Coturnix japonica: one gene and its partner. The protein of the gene in region 1 purifies or fractionates together with the protein of each later gene. This does not show direct contact. Links are inferred from orthologs where the notes say so. Each region holds a gene or a part of one and is shown in the gene's direction. Other genes may lie near its edges. The genes, in order: CDK13 and CCNK.

Region 1 (3,815 bases):
TCTTTTTCCATCATCTGAATATTACAAAACAGCAGTATTAAATATTAAGCTGTTCATTAAAATCTCAGAACCTTACTGCTAACGCGTTTTGAATTAAATGAATAGGAAGAAATTGTTTTCTTCTTTTCAGGGCCTTGATAGTTCATCTATTCTAGAAACTGATGTAGAAAAATTAAAAACAAACAAAGAAACTGTCCTTTGGTATCCCTTTAAAAACTGACACCAACATTTGTCATAGTGAAATGAAAATGATGACTTCTCAAGAAAGAATAAAGTTGCTCACTTGGAAGAACCATGCTCAGTGCTGACTGCAAGTACAGTAGGATAATTCTCATAGTTTCTTGATTGATCCAAGCTGTTGTTGACTAAATACCTGTCAGGTCTTTTGACCTGCTGTTCTGTGGAGGAAGACAATGTAGAAAGCAACTGTCAAAATTTCCTTTCCAGTGATTCTTATCATCTGTCACCTCATTTTTTACACGTTCCTGGGTGAGAGAACTGCTCAGACAGTTACTACTAATATGCAAAGGGAAAACAGAAGGACCTGTTTTAATGCCATATCTCAGTATTTCCATAAGCTATGGGATGGGATTCTGTGTTCCTCAAGAGATCCGAATTCGGATGCCTGTAGGGAGGAATAATAATGAGAAGACTGAACTAATGTCAGATGAGTTCTGTAGAAGATATTTTTCCCCTGTTTTTATCTGTCTTAAAGGACTAGAGGTATCCCTTGTTCTTCCTAGCCACCTAAATTTGTTAGTGTTAAATACTGTTTATTCCTGCCACATTTTTTTTTCCCCTTTTTTAGTTGCCTATGCTGTATAGTTACCAATACTGGATAGCTACCTCTGTTACTGTGAACAAATGTAACTGCACGGATGTGGTGCTTATACAAGCAAGAAAGTGACATTCTCATAGTAAGATGCACGTTCCTGTTCTTTGCGAGAAAGATCTGCATTTGTGAAATAGGCAACTGAAAAAGAGATTTTACCCAGGAAAGCGTATCTGGCTTTGGATGTTTCCCAGTGTATTTCTAAATTCCAGCAGGTTAATCTTTTCAAATGCTGTGTAATGCATAATTTGAATGTGTATTTTACCATGGTGGTTAAAAAACATTTTTTGTAAATCTGGTATAAAACTGATGATCTCTAATTGTTCTTTGCAGCCTTCCTTTGTGGCAGGATTGCCATGAGCTCTGGAGTAAAAAACGCAGAAGACAGAAGCAAATGGGCATGACTGATGATGCAACAGTGACTAAAGTCCCTAGGAAGGATCTGTCTCTAGGCATGGATGAGAGCAGAACCAACACCCCACAAGGCATGCAAACTTCTTCCCAACTCAAAACTCAGGGCAACTCTAGTGTAGCACTTGGTCAGTAATATTTTCAGTTCTTAAAATTACTTTCTGCTTGGATTGCACCTTTAGAAATTTTAGGTGTTATTTTCAGAGTATTGACGTCTCCTGGATTCTTGAAGGAGGGAACATTATTGTAAGTTAAATCTTTGTTACAAAAGATTTGCCTTTATTTTTGGGAACTAGGCATTACTTTTTATTCACATTATTTATTTTTTTAAATCAAGCCAGAGCAACTATCTTGCTTTGTATTTTTGAGGAGGTTTTATCCCATACTCACCAGTAAATCTTCTGTAATCCTACTAGTTTGTTCATACTCTAAGTTCATCATAGTCTTCATAGATTGGGGGAGCTATGTTGGTACTGAAAAATTGGCAAGAAGGCAGACTTTATAACAGCCATGACTTCAAATAGAAGAGATTACCTCAGCATGTCACTTTAGCCTTCATGTTTCCAAGCTGTTTGCGCTAAACCAACTCAGAAAAGAAACAATAAACTAACAAACAAAAACAAACCAACCACCCAAATAACTTATTAAAAAGTAGTAACTACCTCTGCAGCTTACACAGCCAGTAATTCAGAAACTTAACTGAAATGTCTTGCTTGGATGCTTATGTAGTGAAGAATAATATAAATAGTAAAGTAATGGTCTCCTTATGTGGAAACCAGTTGAGATGATCAGCAATGAATACATACCTGGTAAGTTTAGTTTAGACCATTTTTAATTGCGCAAAGTGACCTTAAATCCTATGACACTTACACAGATGTTCATCTGCAGAAAATCAATACATGGTTCACTGAGCATAGTAGTTCTTGAATACTAGCTGTCTTGAATCAACTCTTCATTTAACAATGGAGCAGAACTCCAAATATACTATGCAAAGATAAACGTTAAATATGTACATATTGATATTTTCATTGTATTTTTACTGCAGGTTATTGCTTCTTGTTCCTATTCATCCTGTTTCTTACTACAAGCTGATAAGCTGGCTGTGAGCTTCTGCCACTCACTCTGAACTAATATTTTGGCTGTATTTTCAAAGATGTCTTTCTATAGCCCTTGCAACTTTATCCCTACAAATGAAAACTGAGTTTTAAAGCCCAGTGGATAGTAGTAGTTTTCCTTGTGCTTCTGTAGCAGTTAGCATGTTGCCGACCTACTGTATTAATCAGACATAAAAACGAAACATTTAAAAAAAAAAAAAAAGGGAAAGAAACCTTTCAGAGCTAAAATACTGTTTGCACATGATCGGGTAGAAAAGTATATCTAGGTATAAAAGAAATTTTCATTGGAGCCTAGACAGGTCAGCATATAGGTGTTTTCTGTATTAAGTGCAGCTCTTCCTGAAATCCTGGTAAACCTTAGTTAAAATCATCCATAAGGCATGCTAAAGGATTAAGTGTACAAATGGAAAATGCATGCTTTAAACAAAACTGTTGCTTTTTTTTTGTGTGTGTGCCAAAAAGAGGTTAAAACTAGATAAATTGCTGATGTTATGCTTCATGACTGAGAACCCTGGTTATTGTATCTTATAATTTAACAGGAACTGCATACAGCTCATTCATTTTGTTCTGGTAGAAACTGATAGGTTTCCCAGAGTATAGTTTGTTCTTGGAACGGACTTGAAACTAGCCAAAGAGTATGTAACAGGTAGGTTAGTTACCTTTTGGGGGTACTTTCTGCTGAATTTGCACACTGACAAACTGAGAGAAATTTGAATGTACTTTGTTATCTTCTTGAGCATACCATCCTCAGATATCACAAAATACTGTTCAGCGTGACAGCTGGGTGAAGTCCAGCAGTACGAGGCATTAAAAATAGTAGTTTTTATCTACTGTTAAATAAAGGATGGTTTTATTTTTGTTTTTAGACATATAAAATCTTTAAAGTCCTTAGAACCTTCCAGAGTAGTGTTTGCATCCTGGTGTACATCCACAAGTAGGGTAATTAATTGGCTGTGAGTTTTGCAGCACTTTCCAGCTGTGCTCTTCTTAGTCTTGCAAGGCAACTACTTAATTTTTTGTGTGACTGTTTTTCTCAGGTGTGGCTTTGAATCTGCCAGAAATGAATGTCTTAGTGTATTAACAGGAAGGAAGAATATGCTCATGTTGACTTGGGTTAAACAGACTTGGAGAAAAACATATCCATTTTAATTTCCACCTTCTTTCTTAAGATCCATCTAGTTGTGGGGCGTGTAGCTTCACTTCTCCTTTCAAAATAAACTGACGCAGTGACTGCTTGAAATTCAGAAAATACTTCTGTATTCTGACTAACTTTCTTATCTTCCCCTTCATCAATCTCCTCTTACTTGTGTCAAATAAACACAGTTATATAAAACAAACAAACAAGTGTACCTTATCAACCTACATTTTCCTGCTACTCATTGATATTGACTTGTCCTTCAAGCTCAGCATTTGCTTTCTTGCACTGATACTGCTAGCTTCTGGGTCACCTACAGCCT
Region 2 (4,391 bases), on another chromosome or scaffold:
ACCTTGAGTATGTATATTAAAATGCACATTACACTGTACATTTTATACCATGAACCAGATGTGGGGCATTCAGAACAGTACGGCCATTTACTCACCTACAGGAGTTTCAGTACACTTTTTATTTGGTTTTTAAACAAGCTTACAACTGAAAGGAGAAGAGTTGAGATGTCAAAGTAACGTTGTTAACACCCATAGAACAGAGGCATCCAAGAAGCATCTGGATAGAGAGCTAGAAGATATGGTTTAGAGGTTTTCTGTAGGTATGGTAAAGGGAGGACGGTTGGACTAGATGATCTTGTAGGTCCTTTTCAACCTTGTGATTTTATGAGGCATCATTTGAAGAGACAGGTTATATATTACATATATATATATATTACACATTCTCAGAAGGGAGACAGAAGTTGCACACAGCTTCAACTCATGAGCAAAATCAAGTTCATAGAAGAGCAGGTACCAGGCTTCTCAGCCCAAACTCTATGCTGCATAGAACAGCTTCCAAAACGAAAGCTGGGATTGTTCTGACAACTCTGTGCTGTGTTTGGGCAGCAAATCAATTGCAAATTGAGGAAGCTGTTCAGAACTAAAGACAACTGCAGACCACAAGCTTCACTTAAGCAACCCGATGAGTGCATGGGCGGGAAGAGGATGAGGAACAGCTGTGCAAAGTTGGGTTTCAGCAGCACCGAGCTGCCCAAAGAGCGACTTGCTTGCAGGCAAACAGCTTAAAGGGGACTCAGAAGTTATTTGACGTTTGACCCAACGCTACGGCCCCCCGCCCCGGATTTAGTGCTGGTGAACGGGAGGGTCAGAGGGAGCGAAAGGAAGGAGCGGGCAGCGTGATGGAAAGGGAAGGGATGACATCACGGGGAAAGCAGCTCCAAGCCGGGCGTCCCGCTCCGGCCTCCGAGGGCCAGGCTGGAAAGAGAGGTTGCACCGGGCTCAGCACAGCCTCATCACAACGGAGGGAGAAACGCGGCGGAGGGAGGAAAGCGAGGGGGCGGCGAGGCCTGGGCCGGAGGAGCGCAGGAAGGGAGGCGGCGGGGAGGGCCGCGGAGGGAAGGGCTCCGGGAACGAGCCCGCCGTGCGGGAGGCCGAAGCCCGAGGGGTCCCGGCACCGCCTGCACTTACCTCCCGCACGGAGCGGCCGCGGCCTCGGCTGCTGGGAGCGGCGCCGGACCCAGCCCGTCCCTCCGCCGGACGCCGCTGCCCGCGGGTGGGAGGCGGAGGGCGAGTGAGGCCCAACCCCGCACGGCCAGCGCACGGCCCCGCCCCCGTGCTGCTATTGGTCAAAGCACGGCCACAAGGCAAGCCCCGCCCCCAGCGGGACGCTCGGCAGCCAATCCGCTGCCTCGCCTGTAGGCACTAAAAAAGGGCATGGCGGCTCCCGCATTGGCTGGGAGAGAGCTCACTCCTTCGGCATCTCATTGGCTTGCGAGGTTTGCAATCTTGTCCTCTAAGCCCTTTGATTGGTCCATTCTAAGGCGAGGGGAGACTGCTCCTCGCGCTTAGCAGCCACTGAAACAGACGGGATTGGTTGCGGGAAGGTTCCGCCGCTTCTCATTGGCCGCCGCTCGGGGCTGGCGCGCTGAGTCCCGGTGACGTTGACGTGACGCCGCAGCGAGCGGACCGACCTGCTTCCCAAGATGGCGGCGCGCAGAGCGCGGGGGCCGCGCTGTCGTTAGAGGCCCGGCGCTCCACAACGCTCCGCTGTCCCACGCGAGGCCTGTGAGTGCGCGGGGAGCTGGGCGGCCTTCTACGGGTGGGGGCCCGCTCCTGAGGCGGGGAGCGGGGGCACCGGGTGTCTGTGTGAGCGGGGGAGGTGGCACGGAGCCGGGTGCGAAGGCCGCTCCCTGAGGGGAGTGCGAGGGAGCCGTGATCGGGGACCCCAGGGCTCCTCGGGGCTGGCGGGGTCCGGAGGGGGCGGCCCCGGGGCGCTGTGTGCCGGGGGGGGGGCGGGGAGAGGCGGTGTCGGGGCTGCGGGGCTCCGCACGCGGAAGTGGCTGTGACAGAAGCGGGCCCGGCTCTTTAAAAAGCTCCTTAAAAGTCGCCGTGGGGAGGAACCGAAACGGCTGCAGAGCCGTAAATGAGGGGGGGAGCCGGACAGAGCTGTAAGCGGCTGTTGGCCTGTGTGTGACAGCGGGCACAGGGCTGTGTCAGCACGGCGAGATGGGGAGGCCCTTGAGTGCAGTGATTGTAGGTGGCACCTGACCAGACAGACCTATCTCAGTTGCCTTGATCTTCATGATCTTTTTAACATGCATCTCTACTCTACTGTTTTTTTCTTAAGTAACTCAAGTGCAGATGATTTAACAAAGGTTTTATCCAAGTGTTGCCATTCTGGTAGTGTTTCCAAGAGACCCAGTAAAGTGCTGACAATAGCAGGACACGGGGAAATGGTTTTAAATTAAAAGAGGGAAGATTTAGGTTGGATGTTAGGGGGAAGTTCTTCTCTAGGAGAGTGGTTAGACCCTGGAACAGGCTGCCCAGGGAGGTTGTGGATGCCCCGTCCTTGGAGGTGTTCAAGACCAGGTTGGACGGGGCCCTGGGCAACCTGATCTAGTAAAGGTGTATGTTTGGTGGCCCTGCCAGGCAGGGGGGTTGGAACTACATGATCCTTGAGGTCCCTTCCAACCCGGGTCATTCTGTGATTCTGTGTTTAAATTCCTTTCAGGCTGACCTAACATATGTGTCCTGGTTTATGAAGAGTGATTTGATTTCATCTCCCTCTTTCAGCTGTTCAAATCTTGCTGCTGCTATCACTAAATTGTTCAGTCTTATTTTATGGACAAAATGGATTAAAGTTGTTCTACAGAAAAGTAGCAGGTGCTTTTGATAAAACGTTGAAGTTTCTCTATCAAAGAATTGCAAAAGTAATCATATATAAATCTAGTCTTTGAATTGTATTTGCATTATGTCAGGAAGATGAAAACGTGGTTAAATATTACTTGTCTGTGAGCATGGAAAAAAGATTCCCCTTCATTTTAACATAAGTTCTTTTTGCTTTTCTTAAAGGTTCCAAAGCTCCTAACTGGAAACTTTTTTGAAGCCATATCAAGCAAGATCAGTTCTAATAAATGAAGGAGAATAAAGAAAACTCCAGCCCTTCTGTAAACTTGGCAAATCTGGACCATACAAAGCCATGCTGGTACTGGGATAAGAAAGATTTGGCACATACACCTTCACAGCTTGAAGGGCTTGATCCAGCCACCGAGGCACGGTACCGCAGGGAGGGAGCCAGGTTCATATTTGATGTGGGAACACGTTTAGGGCTGTATCCTTTAAACTCCTGATAAAGTGTTGATGAACGGGGGTTTTAAGAGTTAAATATTGCAGAATATGTGTAGCTAGTTGTTCTAATGTTTCTTTATCATGAATCAAAAATCTTTCTGAGTGTTACTTGATAGTTTTAGCCATTTGTTGGGTAATCAAGGTGTTTTCTGAGAAGCAAGAGAGTTTAGTTTTGTCAATTATGGATATTCTGGCGGTTACCAGATATGGCCTCTTATATGATTTCTCAAACTTTGAATTTTATGTTTATTTTTCTATATTGTTTAACTTTGGAGATTCCAACCTGTGATCCACCACCCCCCACTTTGTTTTTCTTATAGGGTGGAATCTACAACTTTATGTATGTTGGTAATTTCTCCCCATTGTCTCAACTCATGGATACCACTCAAACTTTTTGCTTGCTATATCCCTGTTACTTCTTTTAATCCCGTGAGTTCTTTGTTTAATAGATCTTGAAGATATAATTTTGCATTTATTCTGGCAAAGAATAGTAGGGAGCCCGTTCATGTTGCAGCTGTGTTTGTAGGTATGAATATTTAGTAACTATTTCCTGCAGTAACAGTTTCATGAGGTGTGATACAAAGCGACACTTTTACTCCTGTTTGTGCCTAATTCTGCTTTTGACCTTCTTGATGATGGTGCTTATCACGCAGATGACCACGCATAGATGTGATATGGGCTTTTCTTACTCCCAGTAAATGCTTTAGGTGTCGGCTGCATCTGGATAGAATTTGCACAATCCTAAGGGGGTGTGGCTTCTGTTTCTCTTTTAATTGCAGTGTTTTTCAGCCAGTCGCTGAGTGGACAGTTCCTTGAGATATTTGATATATCAGAGTGTATCTTTTTCATTGGGTGTGTTTGATTTTACATTTGTTCTGTGACTTTCTTGAAGTTCCTTATCCTGCACCACAGACACTATGATACTTTAGCAACAGGAATAATTTATTTCCATCGGTTTTATATGTTTCATTCCTTCAAACAGTTCCCAAGATATGTAAGTATTTACAATATTGATTACCTAATACTGTGATTACATGAAGGATAGGCTTTCTGAAATGACTACAAGTCGAGGGCATTACTCCTTGCACAGCTCTTGCTGAATA

Evidence for each region.
Region 2: the proteins of CDK13 (region 1) and CCNK purify together in Homo sapiens (affinity purification with mass spectrometry; 4 studies listed by BioGRID and IntAct, counting the BioPlex papers as one, with this or other methods). This does not show direct contact. The link is inferred for Coturnix japonica from reciprocal best matches to the Homo sapiens genes CDK13 and CCNK.

The regions. Positions count from the first base shown.
Region 1 is NC_029517.1:76,677,366-76,681,180, reverse strand, and holds part of CDK13 (cyclin-dependent kinase 13), read left to right. Parts: intron 1-1,165; coding exon 1,166-1,371; intron 1,372-3,815. UniProt on the Homo sapiens protein: Cyclin-dependent kinase which displays CTD kinase activity and is required for RNA splicing.
Region 2 is NC_029520.1:43,658,355-43,662,745, forward strand, and holds the start of CCNK (cyclin-K), read left to right. Parts: upstream 1-1,590; 5' UTR 1,591-1,725; intron 1,726-2,804; exon of another isoform or gene 2,805-2,823; intron 2,824-3,012; 5' UTR 3,013-3,074; coding exon 3,075-3,271; intron 3,272-4,200; coding exon 4,201-4,282; intron 4,283-4,391. UniProt on the Homo sapiens protein: Regulatory subunit of cyclin-dependent kinases that mediates activation of target kinases.